Linked DNA regions of Lepisosteus oculatus. The main gene of each other region encodes a partner of the protein of the gene in region 2 in a complex. Links are inferred from orthologs where the notes say so. Each region holds a gene or a part of one and is shown on either strand. Other genes may lie near its edges.

Region 1 (10,652 bases), on a different chromosome or scaffold from region 2:
CATATAATATCACCCAGTGATCCTCAGTATTGGCATTAACATCAAAAAGATGATGTGCCATTGGCATAACAATTTCATGAGTACAGTTCAGCGCAGTGTTGATCATAATAAGATGAGACTCTGGCCTGTGGGCACGCGTTGTTATTGTGGTTGTTGCCGTGGGTGAAGATGGTTGCCACCTTAAAGTGCTCATTGTAACTAAATGACATAATGGCCTTAGAGCCTCGTGTGAGTGCATCTTGTACGTCAAACTGACGTCTGTACCAGGATGTCATTTATTTAATAATAATAGAGTTTAATATGTTTTTGTTTGGCTTCTACCAAAGCTGCTTTGATATCTATTTTGATATACATTGCCTCTGTCTTGCCCTAGCTGCAGTTTGGCAGACCATCACATTGACATGGGCTTTCATTTTATTAATTTGTGTGCTCTGTGAAGCATAAAACCTTCATGCTCCTGAATGTAGGGAAGTGACAAGCCTGCCACCAAGACATTCATCCATTTCCTATTGAGAGTCAGAGCCACCCAGAGCCTATCCTGGTAGCACAATGTGCCTGACAGGACTGGATGCTGGATGGGACAATATACAATCTGGACATTGAAATAAATGGCAGCATGTCTTTTGAAGGCATGACACCACTGGAGGACTCATAGAAAAACATGTGACCACAGAAGAAATGTGCAAGATCTACAAAGAACGTGTTGCAGACTGGAATCAAACCCAGTACCCAAGTGCTGTGACATACAGTAGTAGAACTGGGCTTAATTCTGGACCGAGGGTGCTGTCTGTGTGGAGTTTGTATGTAATCCCTGGGTTCACATGCTCCCACAGTCCAAATGCATACAGGTGGGTGTTGTTCCCGGTGTGAGTGTGCGTGTATCTGCCCTGTGAAGGACTGGTGTCCCACCCAGGGTGTTCCCTGCCTTGCACGTGTTGCTTGCTGGGATAGGCTCCAGCTCCCCCCTGACCCTGATTTGGAAGAAGCACTTGGAAGATGGATGGATTGTTGAATTTAAAATAGGTGTTAATATTTAGTCCAGTTCAAAAATAAGCTCAGATGTATGGCACCAGACTCAGTCATGTGCTGTGGCCTTCAAAATAACATGGAAGTTTCTGTTATTCCTCCTCTTATTTATAAACCATGTCTAAAAATATCTCCTGAGAAATGTCTCTGTTTCAAAGTTAGCCAAAGATTTAAAAGAGAAAATTAGGAGTTCTAAATTGTTCTGATTTATTGGACGGCATGCCCAAGGCAGATTTTGTTTTACAGGATATTGCTGTTGAGACAAACAAAGCCATCATAAAGACACTTCCTGAACCTGCTATCAGATAGGCCAGGCAGTAGCTGATATTTCAGAGGAAGAAACAAATATAAGTATGAGCATAAAATCCTGTCTTGTGTTGTGTTTCCTACTGTCATTTAGATACTGTTCAAGAAATGTCAACCTGAGATCTGAATTATATTCTGAACAAAGGACTATGAAATTATCTAACCAATTCAATCCAAGCAAATTTTAACTGTTTTGAATCAAACAACATTTTTAAAAATACACACTTATTTGTTACTTTTACATGTATCGACTGTTCACTTATACAGTATATTGGAAGTTAAAAAACTGCAGTGAATTGACCACTTCAGGAAACTTAGTGTTGTGAGGCTGTATAAACTAGCAGTAGATTATATTCAGATTATTGTGATAATAAATTAAGACGTGAATAAATTGAGTTTTCTGATTTATGATTTGTTTTGGAATTTAATCATTAATTCGGTTTATTCATTTAATATAATAATCTGTATTTTGTGACAACCTACATATTGTAACGCTTACGGCCGACAGGCACCGTGTAAGAGCCGGCGTACCAGAGCAGGTGACGTCACCGCCCTTCCCTGTGATAGCAGGACTACAGCTACTGAGCTGTAGAGAGATCTCTCTTTGGCTCACCGGGCTGGGTCCCTGTTGAGTGACGCGGGAGTCCCGGGTTTGAGCCCCCGACGGTGCGGGGCCGACCTAATGCGGCAAGGGCGCTCGCCTGAGCCCCCGTTGCGTTACAATATAATTTATGACTCTATTATGAGGCTGTAAATTACCAGCAGGTAGCACAGATCCATGAGTGTTATCACTGCTGTCTCACAGTTCTTGGTTTCTGGGTTTGATTCCAAAGTGTGGAGCAGTGGCTCTGTGGCTGTGACTGGAAGGCTGCAGGTTCAAATCCTGTGGCCAGCAGAAGAATCCTACACTGTTGGACCCCTGAGTGAGGCCCTTAACCCCCTGTGCTCTGACCCCCAGCTTCTCTCTCCCCATCTGTGTGTCTCATGGAGAGCAAGCTGGGGTATGTGAAAAGGAAAATGTATAATGCAAGAAATTGTATACAGCTAATAAAGTGATCTCATTTTATCTTATCTTTTGTATGGAGTTTACTTGTTTTTGCCAGGGCTGGGTGGGCTTTCCCCAAGGCTAGCTGTTGAGGTTAACTGGTGCTTCTCTCACTTGTCCCTGTGTGCCTGTGAGTGTACCCTGAGATGGATAAGCATCAGCTCCCACCTTCTGGAATATACTCTTGATTTCTGTGCAGCTCACTAAGAATAAGTGTCATAACTGATAACAGAATTAATCAGTCAGTACTTAATTTTATTGTTTAATATTAAACTATAAAGAAGATAAAAAAAATTCTTTTTTGCTGATGAATTGCTAATAACAGAGTTCAAACTGGGACAGAAAATGTTTATTGATATAACAACAACAAATGGTTGCTCTTTTACAGGGCTATAATATAATAATAATAATAAACTTTATTTTATATAGTGCCTTTAACGGTGGCTTCTCAAAGCGCTTTACAGGATGACAACAACAATAAATAAGAAGAATACACAAGATAAAACACAATTACAATATAAAGAGGAGACCGTGGATGGTGGTACTAAGAAAAGCAGAGGGGTGAAGAATGATGTATAATCAACACAATACATCTTTATCACTAAAACTTTAAAAAATACGCAGTAAAACCACTATTTTACACACTGGAAAATAGTAACTTATAGGAAGCTATGCATAAATATGAAAAATACAGTACATATGTAGTAAAACAGAACGACAGCAGTGCAAAACAAATTCAGTCATTGAAAACGAGTACAAATGAGTCTTTTTGTGGTAACTTACAGATGCTCAGCTCAAATCCAACATCGTGGGGCACAAGTGTGGCTCAATGAGGCATGATGTCCAGTAAATCAGTTCAAAATAAATAAAGGACTACTGACATCCTGCTGGAATTCTTACTTTTAGCTAAAACTGTGAAGGAGAGCGGTCTGAGGAAGCCGAGCTTCGAGGGCACCCCAGGAAATGGAGAGGGACAGGACCAGGCTGTCTGTGTATTTGCATCTAAGTGAAAGTGGAGGCAAAAAAGACTGAAGAGTCAGGGAATACACTGAGAGTCAACCTGCTGAAGAAAACAGGGGACATGGCGGGTTATGAAGGAGAAAGAAGAAACAGGAGTTAAGTGGGAGAAGACCAGTCAGCAGAGGGGCAAACCAGGGTGACATTCTCGAACAGGACACGAGTAATACAGGGAGCCAGTGTGGTTCAGGAAGGAAAGGAACTCCACGAGGGAAGCCAGGTTCCAGATGATGGGATTTTACAGATTACCAAGTTACAGTGGAGAGTAGAGAATGTGGCAGAAACAGGGAGGCCCACCAAGGGAGGCTGCAGCTGACCCAGCCAGGCAGAACCAAGCAGAGTCTAACAGGCTGCGAGGAGGGGGTAGAGTCTGCACCTGGGAGCCAGAAGCCACAGGATGAGCAAGTCAGGGAAGAGATGTGCTGAGAGGAGATATCAGGGTGACACCACGGTCCTCCTGCAGAAGTCAGAGGGCTATTTCCTCAAAGTCTTTTTTTTTGCATGGAAACGTGCAATCAAGCTTACACGCAGGAAACAGCCTTGGCTTTTCTTATCAGAAAGAAGGATCATTGGAACAAAAAAAGCATAGATCATTTTCCAGAAAACACTTCCAAATCTGGAGTCTTTAAACAGTCAGTAAATAGTCCTGAGCACAGCCATCTGTTAAAAGCAGATGTTTCACAGTTACAGGGTGTTAATAATATTTCTTTTTCTGTGCCAAAGGATCTTGAAATAGAACAGAACAAGAGGTTTTCTGATGAGGGCAATGACACATGTGGTGTCACTTTGTAATATTTTTAAGTAGGATATCTTGGTATGACTAAAACTGAATAATGATATTTGCAAATAGGATACAATGATTTTACCATACTATTTGCATTTAATACAAATGATGCAATAAACAATAACCTAATTTCTTGGTTGGAGAGTTTGTTTGGCATACCTTAAATTATTTAAATCTTACCTTGTTATGCATCAACACTTTATTCCTCTTGGCGATTTAGTTCTGAGGTCAGGTTGATTATATTTGGTGATCCACAGGGCTCAATTCTGTGCCCTTTGCTATGTAAGATTTATGGTTTGTCCTTGGACAAACAGTAAAATTGAATGGTCTGAGTTATTATTTTAATGTGGATAAAAATGGGTCCAGACTGAACCAGACACAGAGGTATCTGCTTCAGTAATCTGATTTTATTTCTGCTGTAAACTCTTGGGTGACACAAAAGGCTTTGCATCTTAATTGTAATAATATCGAGGTTGAATTATTGGGTTAACACCTAAGCTATAAAGCAAACGAAGCAAACTGAGGGCAATGTGTTTGATATTTGATCCATAATTAAGAACTGAGAGGAGAGGAAGAATTGTACAGAGTTTTGTAATGATACTTTTTTTCAATTTTAGAACTATTCTCAGCCTGCTCTCTGCTGTTTGTATTGGTAGTAATTATTACTAGCTTGGCTGAAACCTTCATCTAAAGCAGCTTTCCATTGCACTCCTTTGCACAGCCCAGTATTTTACTGGAGCAATTCTGAGAAAGTGCCTTGCTTAAGGGTACAACACCAGCACTGCACCTGGGATAGAAACCCGCTACTTAACAGTTACATGTCCAGAAAGCTAATCACTGCTGTAATCACACTCCTCCAAAACTGCATTCAAAAACTCACACCATGTTCAGAATTTGGCTGGTTGAATTCTGTCTAGATCAAGAGCACTTTACCATATCACTCCTGTCCTGGAATCCTCTCACTGACAGGATTCAAATTGCTATTAAAATCATTCTGCTTATGTTCAAGGCTGTGCACGGCCTGGTTTCTAGGTAGCTGATATTGCATCTGTTTATCCCATTCCACACAAATTTTGCCTACGTGATTGTTGTTTGCTGTGTGTTCCCACTGTCTACAGTATATTCTGTGGGTGACAGGGCCTTTTACAGCCCTGGAACACTGCATCGAAAGAAATCAGGGGTAGCCACATGGGGTGCTTCTATATTGTAATTGGCCTTTTTTTTAAGAAATGTGATTGTTTTATTGTCTGTATCTGCTTTGTTTGTTATACATTCTTTAATTTTATTGTAACATGTGATGTTTATGTAATGTATAGAGTGTGAAAATAGATATAAAATAACGTTTTGTTTTGTGATTGGTGTTGTTTTGTATATCGCGGTTGTAGCACAAAAGTTCTATGAATGTAGTGTTATAAAAAAACTATTCTCCTAGAAAGATGTTTAATTGTAATTAACTTTCACACGGAGACAAAAGAAATTCAAGTCAGACCACATCAAGGTTGAATAAATCTATGCCCTTCTTACGGTTCCTTCTCTTCAACATTGACTTAAACGATGTATTTGACACTAAAGAAAAGAGAGAGAAAACACTCACAAGGACTGGAAAGGATATTCTTTTCATTTAGATTTGGTTGGAACACAAACAAAAACGTAAATTAATTTACAGGACCGTCAGGACTGCACTCCTAGGTGAAGCCCCACTCAACTGCAGAACTGAACCCAGACAGCCAAGTCCTAGGTGGGACTCTCCCAAACTTTGGAATGTTGGACACCACGTGGTACAATTTTACTACTCCATTGATTGGGACTCGTATCCAATCTCGGCACTCCTACCGGAGAAGTTGAGCTTCCCAAACCAATCAGATGGGAAACAGGGCGGGTTGTGTGCCGGCGATGACGTCCTCGCCCCGTTAGATCCCAGGTTTCCCGACATGGCGTAAGAGAGGAAGGGATTAGGGACGGCGAAGGGAAAAAAAAGAGTGTTTTCAAGAACGACCGTGAAAGAAAATCTCGCCGCGTAGGATTTGCTTATTCGAGGAGTCTTGTAAGGATTTTGTGGGTGAGTGTGCTGGTTTGACGTCCACTGTCTTCCCAAAGCCTTTCATCCGATGAACTCTGTCTGTCTCTTTATCCGTTTTCCAGTTTTTACAGCTTTTTTTCGGGTCTCATCTGGAGCACTTCAAACGCGAATTCGCTCGAAACTTTTAATTGCGGCGATAGTACTAAATATCTATACCCGTCAGGCGAAGATGAAATCAAACATGTGAACGAAGGTGCTGCAAATCCCCAAACTTCAGTATAAACTAACTTTATTTTTTTAGGTGTAGGGGTAGTCTCTGCCGAATAGCTTTTCACTTAAGGGTTAGTCATTTCTGAAGTTTTCAGCGAAGCTACAAGTCAGATGAAATCTATAATGTCTGTGCCTACACAGTGAGGTTTAATGACCTTTGGTAGTTTTCGTGACAGACTTAATTTGTTTATGCTGTTTTTTTTTAGCTTGAAAGATTGGACCGAAGTTTTTATTTCTGTGGGTGTCGAACCATAACATGCAAACGTTTTTTTTTTTAATTTCATTAAAGGCTACACCTTGTTGGTCTCGCTTTCCAGCGTTTATGAAGTCGCAAATGCGGGAGAATAGACGTCGCCAGGTGTATTTTAAAGTCTAGACCTCTTCTTAAGCAGAAGTGTTGGGTTGCGCACGGACTCTTGGAGGCGGCTATCTGATGAGCGCCGTGCTGTGAGGGTGTTGCACTGCGTGCTGTATTTCCGTATGTTTTAAGCAGGCGTCTGTTAAAGAGAAATGGACCGGGAGAGAAGGAAAATCTGGCGTATTTCTTCTTGTTTTTAACCTGAGCTGCGATATCTCTCTCAGTCGACCCGTTTTTATCCGGTGCGCAATTGACCGTCAAGCCACGGTTTCGCTGGGGTCCTCTGGCCGCCTGGGGCTTTTCAGCTGCTGCGCTCCACGTTATCGGCACCTCCCCAAAGTCTTTAACAAACAGTAACAGTGTGTCTTTCAGTAGCACACGGAATCCAGTGGTCTGCCTCTGCTTATTCATTTTAATAAAGCGTCAGCGTGTTAATTCTCAATTTACGAAGTTTGGGAGAGCATTTTGCAAAGTCAGACTGGAGGGGTTGGAATATGAAACTCGACAGTTGCCTGATGTTGTAGCCGAAATAATGTAATTATCATCTTAGTATACTAGGCACAACACTTCTTAAGCCTTTTTTTTTTACGAGACCTCTGGCAAACCATAGAGGAATTGATGGCAGTATTTAACATTTTAAAAGTATTCCCCCTTCTTATTGGCCACTTCCTAGCAATTTTGTTTTTTGGGTGGTTTCGAAAGACTTCCCCCTAATTTCTTGTGTGTTAAAGGTAACATGGTTCGTTTCAGTTATCGTCATCACTATAACTGTGTATTGGGTGGAAATTACAGTTCCTTCCCAGACCAGACCCGAGACAAACTTGTGAATGTCTCTTACCAGCTGTGCCCTGTTTTTGAACTGTCCCATCACTCTTCTGTGTTTGGTGTGCACTCTGGTCGTGCTTATCATGTGACTGAAAAAACGCTGTTTAAATCGCCGACATGTTTACTGTTTATTACTCTTATTAGCAGAATCCTTTTTCCAACATGAGTTCATTGCCCCGCAACAAACAGTGACCTATAAGTTATTTGCAGTGATAGTATAGATGGTATAAGCAAAAGGTAATCTATAAATATAATGATTCAACATACAGACAAACCAAGATAAGGTTATTTTACTACAGAACAGTCTGAATTAATCTTTGAAATTGGTCCATATAAATATTATTTTATACTTAATGTAACTATACTTATACTTTATGTAATGTAATGGATAATAGTATTGAAGTGTTCTCTTATTGTCTTGCACATGTACAGTCACCACAACTTTATTGTTCCTCAAGAGCTACTACTTCTTTCAATGTCTTGTTGGTGTGAATGTTGGTGGCTATGGTACCATGCAGTAATGCATTTAACTAAAAGGGAAAAAAATAGAAGAGCGTCATTGCAGTTTGTTAGTTTTTATCTTGTTGTCCAATTTATAAGTCCACCAGATAGAACATTTTGAGAGCACGTTCCTGGCTCTATATCTCAAGCAGAGAGCGAGTCTCAGTTCACTTGGAGTACTGTACCCCTTGTAAATCAGAGTACTGATCCTAATCTGAAATCTCTGAATGTGCTGTATTCTGGTATTCGTGTTTCACAGTGTCATAAGCGTTAATGGGAAGTCTTTTAATAAAAAAACAACACATCACAGTCAACGTGTGCTTTCTATTTTAAAATAGGAATGACAAGACCTATTAATGCTGCTGTGTTGCTGGTACAGTATAACCCCTGACATCTCTTCAGTGTTCATGTGTGTCTGGATGCAGTACGTTTCTCTTCCTATATTTAAATCTGCACCTAGAAAGCTGTTTTTGTGATTCAGGTTCATTTCAGGTGGCAGCCTTCCAGTGTGACATTTACAGTACAATTTATGGATTTAAGATGAGGTTTTTAAGTTTCTGTTTTTGTCTCCAAACTAATCTTTCTGGCTGTCTCGGTTGCAAACGGCTAGAGATAGCCAAACACGTGGGTAAAACATACATTATAGACCTATCCTCAGAGCTGAGGCTGCAGAGAACTTGGGAATGTTTTCTTTTCCGATGCTCCAGCATGTGTTGTGTGTTTGTGCCATGATAGCTCAGATTTCCTGAGAGTGCAGCGCACGTTGACACTGACCATTTTTTGGAACAAGTTCGCTGTCCGCCGTCTTGAAAGGATTGCAGATCACCCAAGGCTAATGATCTGATTTGTTTTTATCTTGGAAGGACTGAGCTAAGTAGAAGAAACATCTCTATTGTGAGGTATTTGAAGTACCTGTAGGACAAAATGTTTTATATATCATGTGCACAACAATCTCTATTTAAGAGATTTCCAGTACTACGTGATTTAATGATTGCAAGTCTGCGTTTCCAGCCTGTCACCGATCCAGTCTTTTAATTTTAAAAATTTTGTATTTGGTAATAGTATATTCCAGATACAGAAGAGAAGAATCTGCAGGCATTCCATTAAACCTCCCCTAGTTTAACTGTTCTCGCGTTTCTGATGTCGCACTCTGCCCAGCAAGTTGTTTGTGGCTCTTTTTGACAAATTCATACCCGCTGAACCATTTGTAATAAATGTCAGATTTGTTTGTAGGCTGATGGTAAAGCTGAAAATATTTAAAGAAGAGCTTCCCAAACCTAGTCTGTGTGTCATTTTAGCATTTATCCCAGATGATGTCTTCGCTAACTAATTATACTTATTTTGAGTAATAAAATATTTACGTAGCTCAGCATCTTCAAAAGTGGTCTATATGTGACATACAACACAACAGTCATTCTTTGAGAATTCTCCACTGGATCAAGCACAGAGAGTCCCATGGGTTGGGTAGGAATAAAGCAGTCTAGGACAGTTTATGAAAGGAAGCTTTTCTTCAGACATGACTATGGTTTAAGAATCACTGTTTCCAGAGACTGTTTTTATCGGATGAGTAAGATTTAAAAAAAAAAACATTCATCACACAATGAAAATGTACAAGATACCCTATACTTATATTCTTAAGTGAGTCAGTTTTTCTATTGATCGTGGTGAATCGTATATTGGTATCTGAAATCTATAGCGTGTATGCTGTGTAAAACATCATAACTGTTCAGAAACCCTCATCAGAGCACTGTGTCCAATCTAGATATTTCCCCAGTGAGGCCTGCCACTGTATGCTTATCTTTCACTGTTTCTTTATTTTACAAGGTCAATCGCTTGAGCACAGTCTCCTGTGCAGTGAGGACCTTGAGACTCACTCACACTGCAGGGCACTTACAGGAGCTGTTTGAGTGGCATACTTGGCTCAAGGATGCAACAGCAGAGCCCTAACCTGCCCATCTCCTGTCCAGATTCCTAATCACTACTCTGCACTGCTGCCTGAACTTTCAGGATGTTTTATTATACAGTCGCAGATTCTTCCACTGCAATCTCCTTTTATTAACCCTTTTGATGCACAAAGCCATACCTTTCTTCAAATTTCCCCCTGGCATTTCACATTCATGGCCTCCTATGATGGATCCCCATCTATGTACTGGCTTCATCACTTTTCCCCCCTCCCCACTGAGAGCTGGTGTGTGCGGAGCGTACTGGTGCACTATGGCTGCCGTCGCGTCGTCCAGGTGGGGCTGCACACTGGTCTTTGTTACCTGTAAGGCGCATTGAGTGGAGTGTCCAGAAAAGCACTATAGAAGTGTAAGGAATTCTTCTTTGTTGTATACAAAGGAACAACAGCTGTTTATTTTTCTGAGCATTGTGTGAATGTTTGCTGAAAGCACACTGGAGATTCCTCATACCTCCTATGTTCTGGGGAGGGGGGGGGAGTCATTCACCAATGGAATGTAATTACAGACAAAATGACATTCCGTTAGTAAACAAACTGGGC
Region 2 (11,027 bases):
AATAACACAGCACCTTTCTCTGTGTGAGATGTCTTGTTCCAGCTCAGTCCCAGACAGGCCACAGAACACTGGCTATCTAGCAGGCCTGTTGAGCTTTGCTGCATATGGAATAACACAGAGGTATTTTGCCCTGGGATATAAAAATAGTGACTGACTAAATTCTTGGCCATGTTTCATTGATCTAATAACCAGGCACAGATTACGTATTTCTACCAAAGAACTTCAGCTCAGGCATGGTCTAAAGGTGGAGAGATTGATCATTTCCTTTGATGGTTCAATACATATGCACCAAATTAATATATATGTTGTACATGATCATTATACAGCACACATGGACAAAGGTGTCAGCTACATATCTGAGACACATTCTATTAACATCTTGATAAGCAAAATGATTTTTTCCACAAAATGTATTTATAAAGGTATATCCAAAGCAAAAGATTGCAATGAACTGTGAAGGTGGTGGATAGCAATCCTTTATATTAGCTGATACTACAAAGGCACCAGGCACGGGACATGGCTATTGGATAACTGAAAGTATCTAATAGAAACTCACAGGATGACTTATAAGATCCCTAGCTTTGCACAAGAGAGGGATGCCATTTGATCAACAGCTGATGCCTTCACTGGAAACACGGGTCACACACTTCACAAGATCAAAGAGAATCAATGCAAGATCGGTAACCTTTGTCCTGTGTTTAAAACCGAAGCAGGCAGACTTGTATGTGCTGCTCCAGCTGTGCGCAGAATAGTGAATTTCTCACATTTCAACCTCCACAGATACCATATGCTGCTGAAGGATGTCAGGGAGGGACTTCAGCTGAAGCACAGACAGGGCGTGATGAAGGGACAGTTGGACACGATTCATACTTTATGACAAGCTGCCTACCCCAGAACAGAACTGTGGGCTGGCTGCAAGAGGCCGCTGGAGCTCCACAGAGGTTTCTCATGGTCATTTAAAAGGTCATCCTCCAGAACACCCTCCTCGTTCTCTTCTAACCTTGGCCACCTACTATGCGTTAACATCTCCTCACCAGCTGCTACAGTTATTCAGACAAAACGTCTCTCATCCTCAGGCTGCTAAAAAACAAACTTGATCTGACGACAAGCACTTGTTTCTCTTCTTTTTATAATGAATGTGACAGCAGTCTTTCAAAGTTTTCACGGCACTTAATACATCTAAGCTACTCTGTGTCTCTGCTACGCTCTGCTACTGTACAATGATCTCATTGTGCACTACCAGCTTTATAATGCATATGCTGGCATACCGTGAATTTATGAGGGAAAGGGCATCACCGACTTGAACTTCAATATCTCAATATTTTCCTCAGTGACATTTTGGAGAAACGTGCTTTTAGTTTATTTTATGTTACAATCAGAAAGACCCAGTTATTTTGACATAGAGATCAGGAATGTCTTATTCTTTCACTGAGGGGAATGTTTATCTTTACAAAGAATTAAAAGGCAAGGCCTCCCGGTACACATGCAGTCCGTACATTGCAGTGCATTCAAAGTAAGAATCCTGTTGACGTTCACAGCTGGAGACAATGAAGCTTTGTCCGAGTGGAGCTGGTCTGGGAAATGGCTGATCTGTACCACTGTGTGCAGGGGAAACTGGGAGGAGGCCGAAGTTGTCAGCTTTTTTTCCTGTGCGTTATTGAGTGCCCAGTCTCCTCCACTGCTAGAACAGTAAGCTCACAACCTGCACTCCCGGCATAGGAGGGCAAAGACTAAATGAAGATATTTTTCCTATAGACATAACTGGAGAGAGAAACATCACAGCACTGACGCTTGCAGAAAGAGACAGTGCCTCCAAGGTTTATTCTACGTACTTTTTTTCACATTGAGTGAACAGGGAGCAGGAGTGTTTCTGCTGAAAAGACACTTGAGGACCTTTCCTGTAAATGTTCTTACAACTTGATTAAATGTGGAATTACAAAAAGTAAAACTACTGTGAATTGTAACAGCTGAAATTGTTCCATATCTGTGTATTGATTTTGTTTTGCTTCACAGGGAATTTTTACACAGGGCAGAACATCTCTTTAAATGAAAAGAGTGGTAGAGTAGTTGCATTTTCATTTTTCAAAGGAAAATGTTCAAAAAATTCAATTAACACTGGATAATCTTTGACCTCAAAGTGTTTCCTTTTCCTACCGCATGTAAGTCAGGGGAAGACTTCCCTTGCATGTTAGATCCCTTAACATTTACTTTTTGGGCTCTGCTTGAAAGCACCTTAACTGGAAGCAGGCTGTAACGCTCTAAGTTATTATCACAAGTGGCGTAATGGAGAGCCAAAACAGAATGAAGAGGTATTCATCAGCTCCAGCAAATTTAAACCAAATGCCCAAAGATCTGGTGGAGGTCCAGTCTGTCTGTGGGAACTCAGTAATCCCTATACAGGCAGTAGGAGCTCACCTGTGTTGTCTTTCTGCACTCAGAAACCGCTGGGGTCCAGCTGTATGTCTTGAATCACACACAAGCAGCCTTCAGGCTCGATGTGAGATCTATTAATATTAATGAACAGCTAGAGCACAACTGTCCTCTATTCAAGAGCAGTGCCGGTTTAGGACATTTAGCACTGCAATCCCAAAATCTGCCTACGGCCCACCACACTAGTAAAGCCAACAGTCTAATAGGTTGGAAATAACGATCTGAAAAAACAATGACCGCACTGCTGTACGCATGACAGCAGGTGGCAGAGACGTTTGTAAAAGCAGAGCTGGACACAGTGACGATAAGCAATGAAGGGCAGAAGGAATTCAAGGTTTCAGCTCAGGTCCTGAACCATCAAAGGAACTTCACCTTCAGTGAGGTCCTTTACAACACCTCAAAAAGCCTCACAATTGAATATAGGTCCTTTAAAAGATTCAGCACTGTCGCAGTCGCCAGAGATATCGTCGAAACAGAGATATCGCTTGCTCGCATATCTTCCAAGGAATGTGCAGTAAGCTATCCATTACGTTTTGCTTCTGCTCAATTATTTCGCGAGTGTGGACTGACAGGATAATTACTTACAAGAAGACCAGAAACTTACCATGTGAAAATGCCCGCTTGAGGCTATGGGTGAAGTGAATGTGGGTTGCGGCTCGGGAGAGGGTGGAATCGCACAGATGGGCGATTGTGGATCGGCGCTTCGCGGACACCTGACATCTGACAGGGAGCAGAGCCGGGTGTAGAGCCCAAGTCCCTGTGCCCCACCTGCAGCGCTCTGTAGCGCCCCGACACCCTGTCCGCCCCTGAGCCGCGCTCCGGAGGAATTCTAATTATGCACGCTCTGGCGCATGTGACAGGCGCTCCAGACACAACAAAGCAGACTTTCATCGCGCTGAGGCTCGTCTAACTGACCTGGTCTGGGCTACAGCGGCATGCAATACCTAACGACATACCACCAACATAATAACCAGTTTTAGATAACACGCAAAAAAAACCCCAATAAAGGACACCTTTCAACCGTTTCTTCAACTTTTAACCTATCAACAAAAAACAAGACAACAAAAATGCACCACTGCAAACTTAAAAATTATGGTATCAATCTTTTTTTTTTTTTAAAGCCGTTCGTTTCCACGGGGTCAGTTCGTAATTCGATAGAGCAATTCTCTTCTGAGGACCTGCTCGGGTAACATATAGCGACTTACCGTTTTGGAAACGGAGCTGTCAGTGTCAGGCATTCTTGCTGTTGTGGTTGCTCTTGGATTTTGGAGCGAGCAGGAGAAGGAAAAGACCAGAACAGTCAGAAATCCAGATGCGCAAGTGCGCACGCACGCAGAAAAGTTGTCCGTGTCAGGCAGGAGTCCGGGATGCGGGATGTCCGGCGCCGCTGAGGCATCGCACTACGCCCCCGGGGGCAGCCCTGCGCGCCGGGTGCCGGTCCGCTTGCGCCGCCCGCGCTGCTCCCTCGCGCTCTCCCTCGAGCTCCGGAATGCGCAGCAGCTGGAGACCTCGGGGTGCGTGCCGACTGCAGACCGGGGGGGGCTCAGCCGGCCGGCCAGCCAGGAGCGCGTGGAGCCACTTTTCTACAGCGGACAACAACAACAAGGTGTAGAGCTGACCAGAGTCTTTGAAATCAGACCCCCCCCCCCCCAAAAAAAAATTGGAACCCCAAAGACGCGTATATTTCCCAATCCCCACTCAACTGTCGCAAAAACAGCCCGATTTTTTTTAATGCGCGTTGCTTCGCAAAAGGCTAGGCGTGTGAAATTCGGAAACCTGACGCCTCCCGGAGCTGCTTCGGAAAGCGGTGTGTCGGAGATCGCGCGGCGAGTCTCCACGGGCCAGGAGGTGTTTCCTGTGTGAATCTACCGTATGTATGCAGATGCCAGGGACCGCGCCAAGATGCGAAGCTGTGTGCTATTGAAACATACTTTTCTTTTGATTTTTGTTTGTTTTCCGGAGGGGGGTTAAAGACCAGTCTTCGTCAGGATCCTTAAAATCGCAGTGATCGCGGAAAACGCTGGATGTTCCGGCAAACGTTCAATCTTTAGGAAGACGGTCTCCAGCTGAGCCCAACTGTAACGAATCGATCGATCTGATTCGTCGGCATACCTTGCCGGCGTCGAGTCCAGACCAGGCACGGTGAGCGGCGGCCGCGGTCGGGTCCGGCCCGGTCCGGTCCGGCTCGGACCCGCAGCTGCGGAGCGGAAAGGCTGAGCGGGTTGGGACGTGGCGGAGCGCGGGAGCCGGCGTGTTTATCGCCGCGGAAATCGCCACGGCACATGTCGTGGATTCCAGTGCAGGAGACCGAAGCGGCTCGGGGCTGCTTCAGGTTTCACGGTGGGGGAAGGATCTCCAGAGTAAACAGGAAGCCTCTGAGCTGGGCTGCGGCCCGGGCTGAGAGCCCGTGTGATCGTGCTGACCTGTGCTCTCCTTCCCCCGGCCTGCGGTGGGGTTATACAGGACGGCAGCGAGCACCTCCAGTGGGGGCAGTTCGGGCTGGACGGGGGCACTAACGGAGCAGGACTCAAACACACACACACACAGAGGGAGGTCTCTCCAGAGCTCTTTGCTCTGCTGTAAACTCAAATGTCTTATCTACAAGTCAAATCAAGATGGAATTATCCAAATGATTATCGGATTTAATATCCAATTATCCAATTTACCTGAAGAAGGCTCCACAGCCAAAGTATTGTTTTCTTCCTTCTCTTTTCAGCAGGGAATAAACCTATTACTTGTTCCTTAGCCAAATATTGCTCTCTCTCTCTGTCTGTGTGTTGTCTACTTTTAGACTTACACTATCAACCTTACACTTGTTTTAAAATGACTTTAATAATTCCTCACACTTATATAGCGCTTTTCTGGACGCTCCACTCAAAGCACTTTACAGGTAATGGGGATCCCCTCCACCACCACCAGTGTGCACCCCCACCTGGATGGTGTGGCGGCAGCCATAGTGCGCCAGAACGCTCACCACACACCAGCTCTCAGTGGGGAGGAGAGCAGAGTGATGAAGCCACAACATAGATGGGGATTATTAGGAGGCCATGATTTGGTAAGGGCCAATGGGAAATTTGGCCAGGACGCCGGGGTTACACCCCTACTCTTTTCAAGAAACGCCCTGGGATTTTTAATGACCACAGAGAGTCAGGACCTCGGTTTTACGTCTCATCCGAAGGACAGGCCTCTTTTACAGTATGGTGTCCCCGTCACTATACTGGGGCATTAGGACCCACACAGACTGCAGGGAGAGCGCCCCCCCCTGGCCCCACGAGCACCTCTTCCAGCAGCAACCTTAGCTCCTCCCAGGAGGTCTCCCATCCAGATACTGACCAGGCTCACACCTGCTGAGCTGCAGGGTGACATGGCTGCTGGCTGACTTTAAGATACAAACTTCTACCGTGAAAACTTTCAATCCCAAAGTGTGGGAACCTCTCCTTCAGCTTTTTCCTTTGGTCAGGTGGGAAATGCCAGGATGCCATACAGCAGCACTGCCACCCTCAGGCTGATCTCCAGAGCTGGGCCTCCCCAGTGAGGAGCTGGCAGGCTTCTCGGGGGGAGGGAGGGTCACTTCTGCAAGCGGTGTTGGCCGACCAGCAGGTGGCGCACTTTCCTCTCGACCGGAATCTCCCATCCGGGGCCCAGTCTGGTGACCTGGAGCGATGTGCAGGAGCAGGTGTCCTCTTCCAGCTGGGATGTGAAATCGAGGTGCTTGGTTTAGCCAATGACTGGGTGTGGCTCACAAGAGCAGGACTGAAGAGAACCCACACCGGCGCTCCAGAGACAGATCAATCTAGCCTCCCTAGATGTCCTCCTTAACTCACTGAGTGCGGTCGTTTCTCACCTGTCCAGCAGATGCAGAGTGGCTGCTGTGTGCTGCCCATATGTTCGTGGTGAAATGCTCTAGAAAAATGCATGTAGTTGTTGGTATTATTGTATAGAATTAAAGAATTATCTGTGGATTATTTACAAAACAAAAAAGTGTACCGGGAGAGTACACTACGATTAGAACAGCTTTTGTAATGAATCTGTGCTGAGAGGACATGAGAGGGCTGACTCTCCCAGCGTGTCATCATCGGCCTGCTTCTCCAAAAACCACGGCTCAACCTGTCCGATCCAGCTGCTGCTGGTGAACAAAGACGTATTGCTGCATCTTCAGGCAGCCCTCTCGGAGTGAACTCTGGGGGGAAAAGTTTCCAACACTGAATCTGTAACTGCAGGAGACAGATAAATATAAATCACAAAGCAATAGGCTATAAACGTTCGTGGTCACATCACTACATCAGCACTGTTTGTTATATTAAAAAATATATTTTTACTGGTTAAATTAAGAATGCAATATATTACCCTTTCCCCTTTAAGAAAAAAAAAACACGTCAGTTGGAAATTATTTATTTGGCCACTTCACAAAACTTGTTTATTTCAAACATTTCTCAACTATTACATGACCGTCTCTAGTATAACAGCTCATGAAAGAGTTAATTAAAGTGCATCACAGAAACACTATATTGATTGTACAGCATGTCTAAAGGATCTGAAAAGGATTTTGACACTATAAATGAATTTGAATAAGACAGGAAATGGTGGTGTGCTCTCATTCCAAAACAGCATTACGACATGCAAAGATGGGTTTTCCAAATTGAATACCTGACATTTATTTACTAAAGAGAGTATCAGCTGGACGATGAAGCCAATTACTTCACTGTCGTTCACAAATTCACTGTCTTTTATGAATCTTGCATACAGAGATGAATGACGTCATCTAAAAGATAGCTACTGGCATTCTTCTGAAATGGAGTTACATATCCATTACCTTGGAGCTCCACAGTGTTGCTATGGTGACGAATAACATTCCAAACAATTTTACCAGGGATTCTGGTTACAATCAGCAGAATGTATCCTAATGGACACCACTGGCTTATCGAACCCAAAGCCACGAGTTTCCCACACAACATTACCAACATAAAGTTGCCAACATTACAGTCAGCTGAGCAACCCTTTAATAGTAACAGTTTAAAAGCTTTTCAAGGATATTCAGCATATAAAAACGCATCCTACTTCAACGGAAGAGTTGCTGTCTTTTCAATGAATAGCTAGCATATGTCAATGTGCAGTAACACACTTTGGTGCATGCCTCAGGAATAAGCTGTAGCTTTTCCAGTTTGGGTTTACTAAAGAAGTTGTGTGTTTTTAATAAAAATGCAAACACACCTAAAGCACAGACAGATCTTTCTCACCCCCTTCTCCCACAAGTCCACCCCTGCCAGCCTCCTGATGACTTTCGGGCCTGTCCAGAGCAATCAAGCCCCCCAGCAGTGCATAACAGGACAACATCTTCCCATTACTGTTTGCTTTTCAATTACACAAAGACTTTGCAAATTACTGCTTATCTTGACAAGTGGCCTATTCAACAGCTTGCACTGTGTTTACACATGAGATCAGAATTCATGGCTTTCAATGTCCCTTTAAGTGCCGCACTGCGCTATAAATTCAAACTCTCTCTCTGGGCACCTGAGTTGAGCAGCCTTTCGAAACAAAACACTGAACCTGGGAATGAAATATAACCTAGAGAAGATAAAGCTTGTTCTTGAACACATCTCTGCTGCCACATTGTTCCAACATTCCAGTGGAGTGAATGTCTTTTGTCATAAAGTCTTTGCCTTGGTGCTGTTACAGGCATTCAAAATATCACAGTATAGCTGTTGAGAATCACAGTGTTAGGAATGAGTCGATCACTGACATCTAATAAGAAAGATTAATGCACACACAAAAAGAGAATAAAACAACAACAATAATAATAAGCTGTAAAGCTGTATGAATATCTACACTACTCCTGGACACATTACTCTTTCAACGACACTCTGTCATTGTTGCCAATGGATCACAAGGTATCGTGAGGCTTGTAGGGGTATCAGATACACCTGTGGGGAGGACTCTACCCTCAGGGCTCCACTGTGCGAAAATCAGGCTCCATTCAAATACCCAGACAGAGCAATCAGACAGTCACAGCCTCAAGTCCATGCATGGCTCTGTGCGAGGGCATGCGGCTGATATCATCTGGGAAACACTTTCAGGAATGCAGTTTTCCCTCTGAAACTCGTAGACACAGTAAGGCTATTCCCCGGATTGATTCAGCTTACATGGTAAAGAAAAACACAAACAAAAAGTCTCCTGGAATCTGTTTCCCATCACCCACGCTACGCGTGCAAAATGCCAACAGAGCCTCAGGCAAGACCAGCTGTGGCAGTGCAGAGACATAGATGATATCACCTAGCTCTTTCTTCTGTTTTACAAATATTACTTACGGATCTGCAGACAGGAAGCAAAGCATCTATTGCTTCCTGCACGGAATGTGATAAAATATTTTTTTTCCATATGGAAGTTTCAAACTTCCCATCTCGAAAATGTAATTGTAATTGCAATTAAATAAAAAAGTAATTGGCGAAATTAGAAGTACTGTCTGGTTGAATATTCTGTTTTAGATATAAACCATGCTGCTTTTAAATCAAAAAGTCATTTTTTTCACATCAAAACAGGTTATAAAATCATATCAAATTGCATAGTGTTGACATGAAGGATCTGCTGGTGAGAAAAAAATAAGTTAAATGTTTGTTGTTGGAAAATAGATTTGTCTTGAATTCGATAGTCGGTAGAAGTTAAAACAGCAGGTCACAAGGGGAAAAACAAGTCTCCTCAAATTCCAGGGTGATGCATGTGAACCAGCAGCAGTTTTGGAATGTTGCTCTGTTCTTGGTGAAACGTGACTGGGATCGAAGGTGAAACAAACTGGAACACAAGGGACTGGACTGGGAGCCTGGGGCTGATGACACAGGGAACGCCAGTGCGCCGATGAGGTGGGATCATCTGTCTGATGAAGGGTAGGTCCCTACAGTCCACTGCCTATTCTCAGGCTAATTGAACCTATCCAATGATTACAGTATTTCCTTGGATAGACCTATTCATAACCCATTTCAGAATTTAACAGAGTAATTGGACCTAGAATTGGCATTAACGCTGTACCAGGAACTGATTATCAGAACACTCTCCCTTCTCAATTAAACCCATGCATAATTAATGTTTAATAGGAATGCTTATTACTGGAGTGTGTCACACAACCTAATTTCCAGCTTTGTCTGTGTCCACGTTATTGGCAACCGAGCAGTTCAGACACATACAGGTGAGCAGCAGTTAATTAAAGACGCCAAAGACAAGCCGCCCTCAGTTCTGTTGGCTAAATATCTTGGCCGAAATACTACAATGGCAGAGAAGATCTGAAGCAAAGAACTGGGGAGAAGATCCTTATTTAGAAAACACTACTCTTATGTGTTAATTAAAACATCGTGGGCAAACTGTAGTGGAAGGTCTGTCCTTGCATAAGGTTGCCAAAAGGTTACCAGGGTGGGTACCCTTCTGTGCCTTTACCTATCTTGAGAACAGAAGAAGAGTTACAAACCAGAGGCGGCCATTAATCCTCTCCAGTTTGTTTGGTAATTAGTAGCTAGTTGATCCCAGGTTCCGTCCAGCTCTTTCTTGAAAGAAACCCGGGCGTTAACTTCAGGAACATGGCTGGGTAGCTTGTCCCACGCTCCCGTGAAGCTTTGTGTAAGAGCGCCTTCTGCTCTGTTTTAAATGTGCTTCTCCCGAGTTTCCACTTGTGCCCCCTGGTTGGTATTTCACCGCTGATCCTGAAGAGGTCCCCTGGGTTCACTTTCTCAGTGGCTTTGAGGATTTTGAACACTCTGTCCCCTCAGATCTCTCCCTTTCTGGACTCCTCCCAGCAGTCAGCGTTGAATATCCTAATGGCATAAAAACAGCAGCAGTTGTAGAGTTTTGGGCTCAGAAGGCCACTTTCTGGATACAGCACACTGCCAGGAGGAGACTGCGGTTGGCGGCCCGATTAGGAATCCAAATTGAGAAACTCCAAATTGCCCCATTGCACGGTCCAGAGCTGGGCTGCCAATGTGGCTTGTGGCTAAATTTCCAGGGTCCATTTTTCAACATCTGTCACACTTCTGACCCTTCAGTGGTTCACCAAACAATAAGAAACCAGCCCTTCAGTTCTCAGGTCATTATTGCCAGTCTCCGAATTGTCAAGTCCTATTTAAGAGACAAACAGTGCATCTGCCTATAATTGCTCCTGCCAAGGCAAGCATATTTTTTATGGTACAGTAAGGATTTAAAAAATGCCAGAGACCAATACAGCATCTTTAAAGTAAGGCAGAAGCTTAAATCCTGGTTTTAATGGGAGCATACGCAGTATCAGAGGAATTAGAGATTAGTGTCATTTTTACAATCTACCAGCTTGCCTTTTCACTGTTTCAACCATACCCTGTGGAAAATAATGCACATTTGCTTTTTTTACCTTAATCATAACGTGAAATTCTTGATAAATACCCTACATCTATGCTATGCTTTACTGAGGATTGTGTGTAAAGGCATGGGGTGGCTGGTGTCAGTTCGGTCTGAGAGCCCTGCAGCAGCACATTGACTCAGAGAATTAACACTATGTGCCTCTGCGGGAAATGCTGGCATTTCTCGAATGGCTGATTGCATACACACAGGGAACTCTTAAACATGTGCTCTAAAGCTTACTCACA

What was found.
Region 1: phldb2b (region 2) and ppfibp1b share a complex: the UniProt entries of both Homo sapiens proteins name them as parts of the cortical microtubule stabilization complex. The link is inferred for Lepisosteus oculatus from reciprocal best matches to the Homo sapiens genes PHLDB2 and PPFIBP1.

The regions. Positions count from the first base shown.
Region 1 is NC_090702.1:53,712,309-53,722,960, reverse strand, and holds the start of ppfibp1b (liprin-beta-1b), read left to right. Parts: upstream 1-6,076; 5' UTR 6,077-6,237; intron 6,238-10,652. UniProt on the Homo sapiens protein: May regulate the disassembly of focal adhesions. Did not bind receptor-like tyrosine phosphatases type 2A.
Region 2 is NC_090700.1:5,139,987-5,151,013, reverse strand, and holds the start of phldb2b (pleckstrin homology-like domain family B member 2), read right to left. Parts: upstream 4,875-11,027; 5' UTR 4,362-4,874; exon of another isoform or gene 4,014-4,361; 5' UTR 3,669-4,013; coding exon 3,636-3,668; intron 3,241-3,635; exon of another isoform or gene 3,038-3,240; coding exon of another isoform or gene 3,035-3,037; intron 1-3,034. UniProt on the Homo sapiens protein: Seems to be involved in the assembly of the postsynaptic apparatus. May play a role in acetyl-choline receptor (AChR) aggregation in the postsynaptic membrane.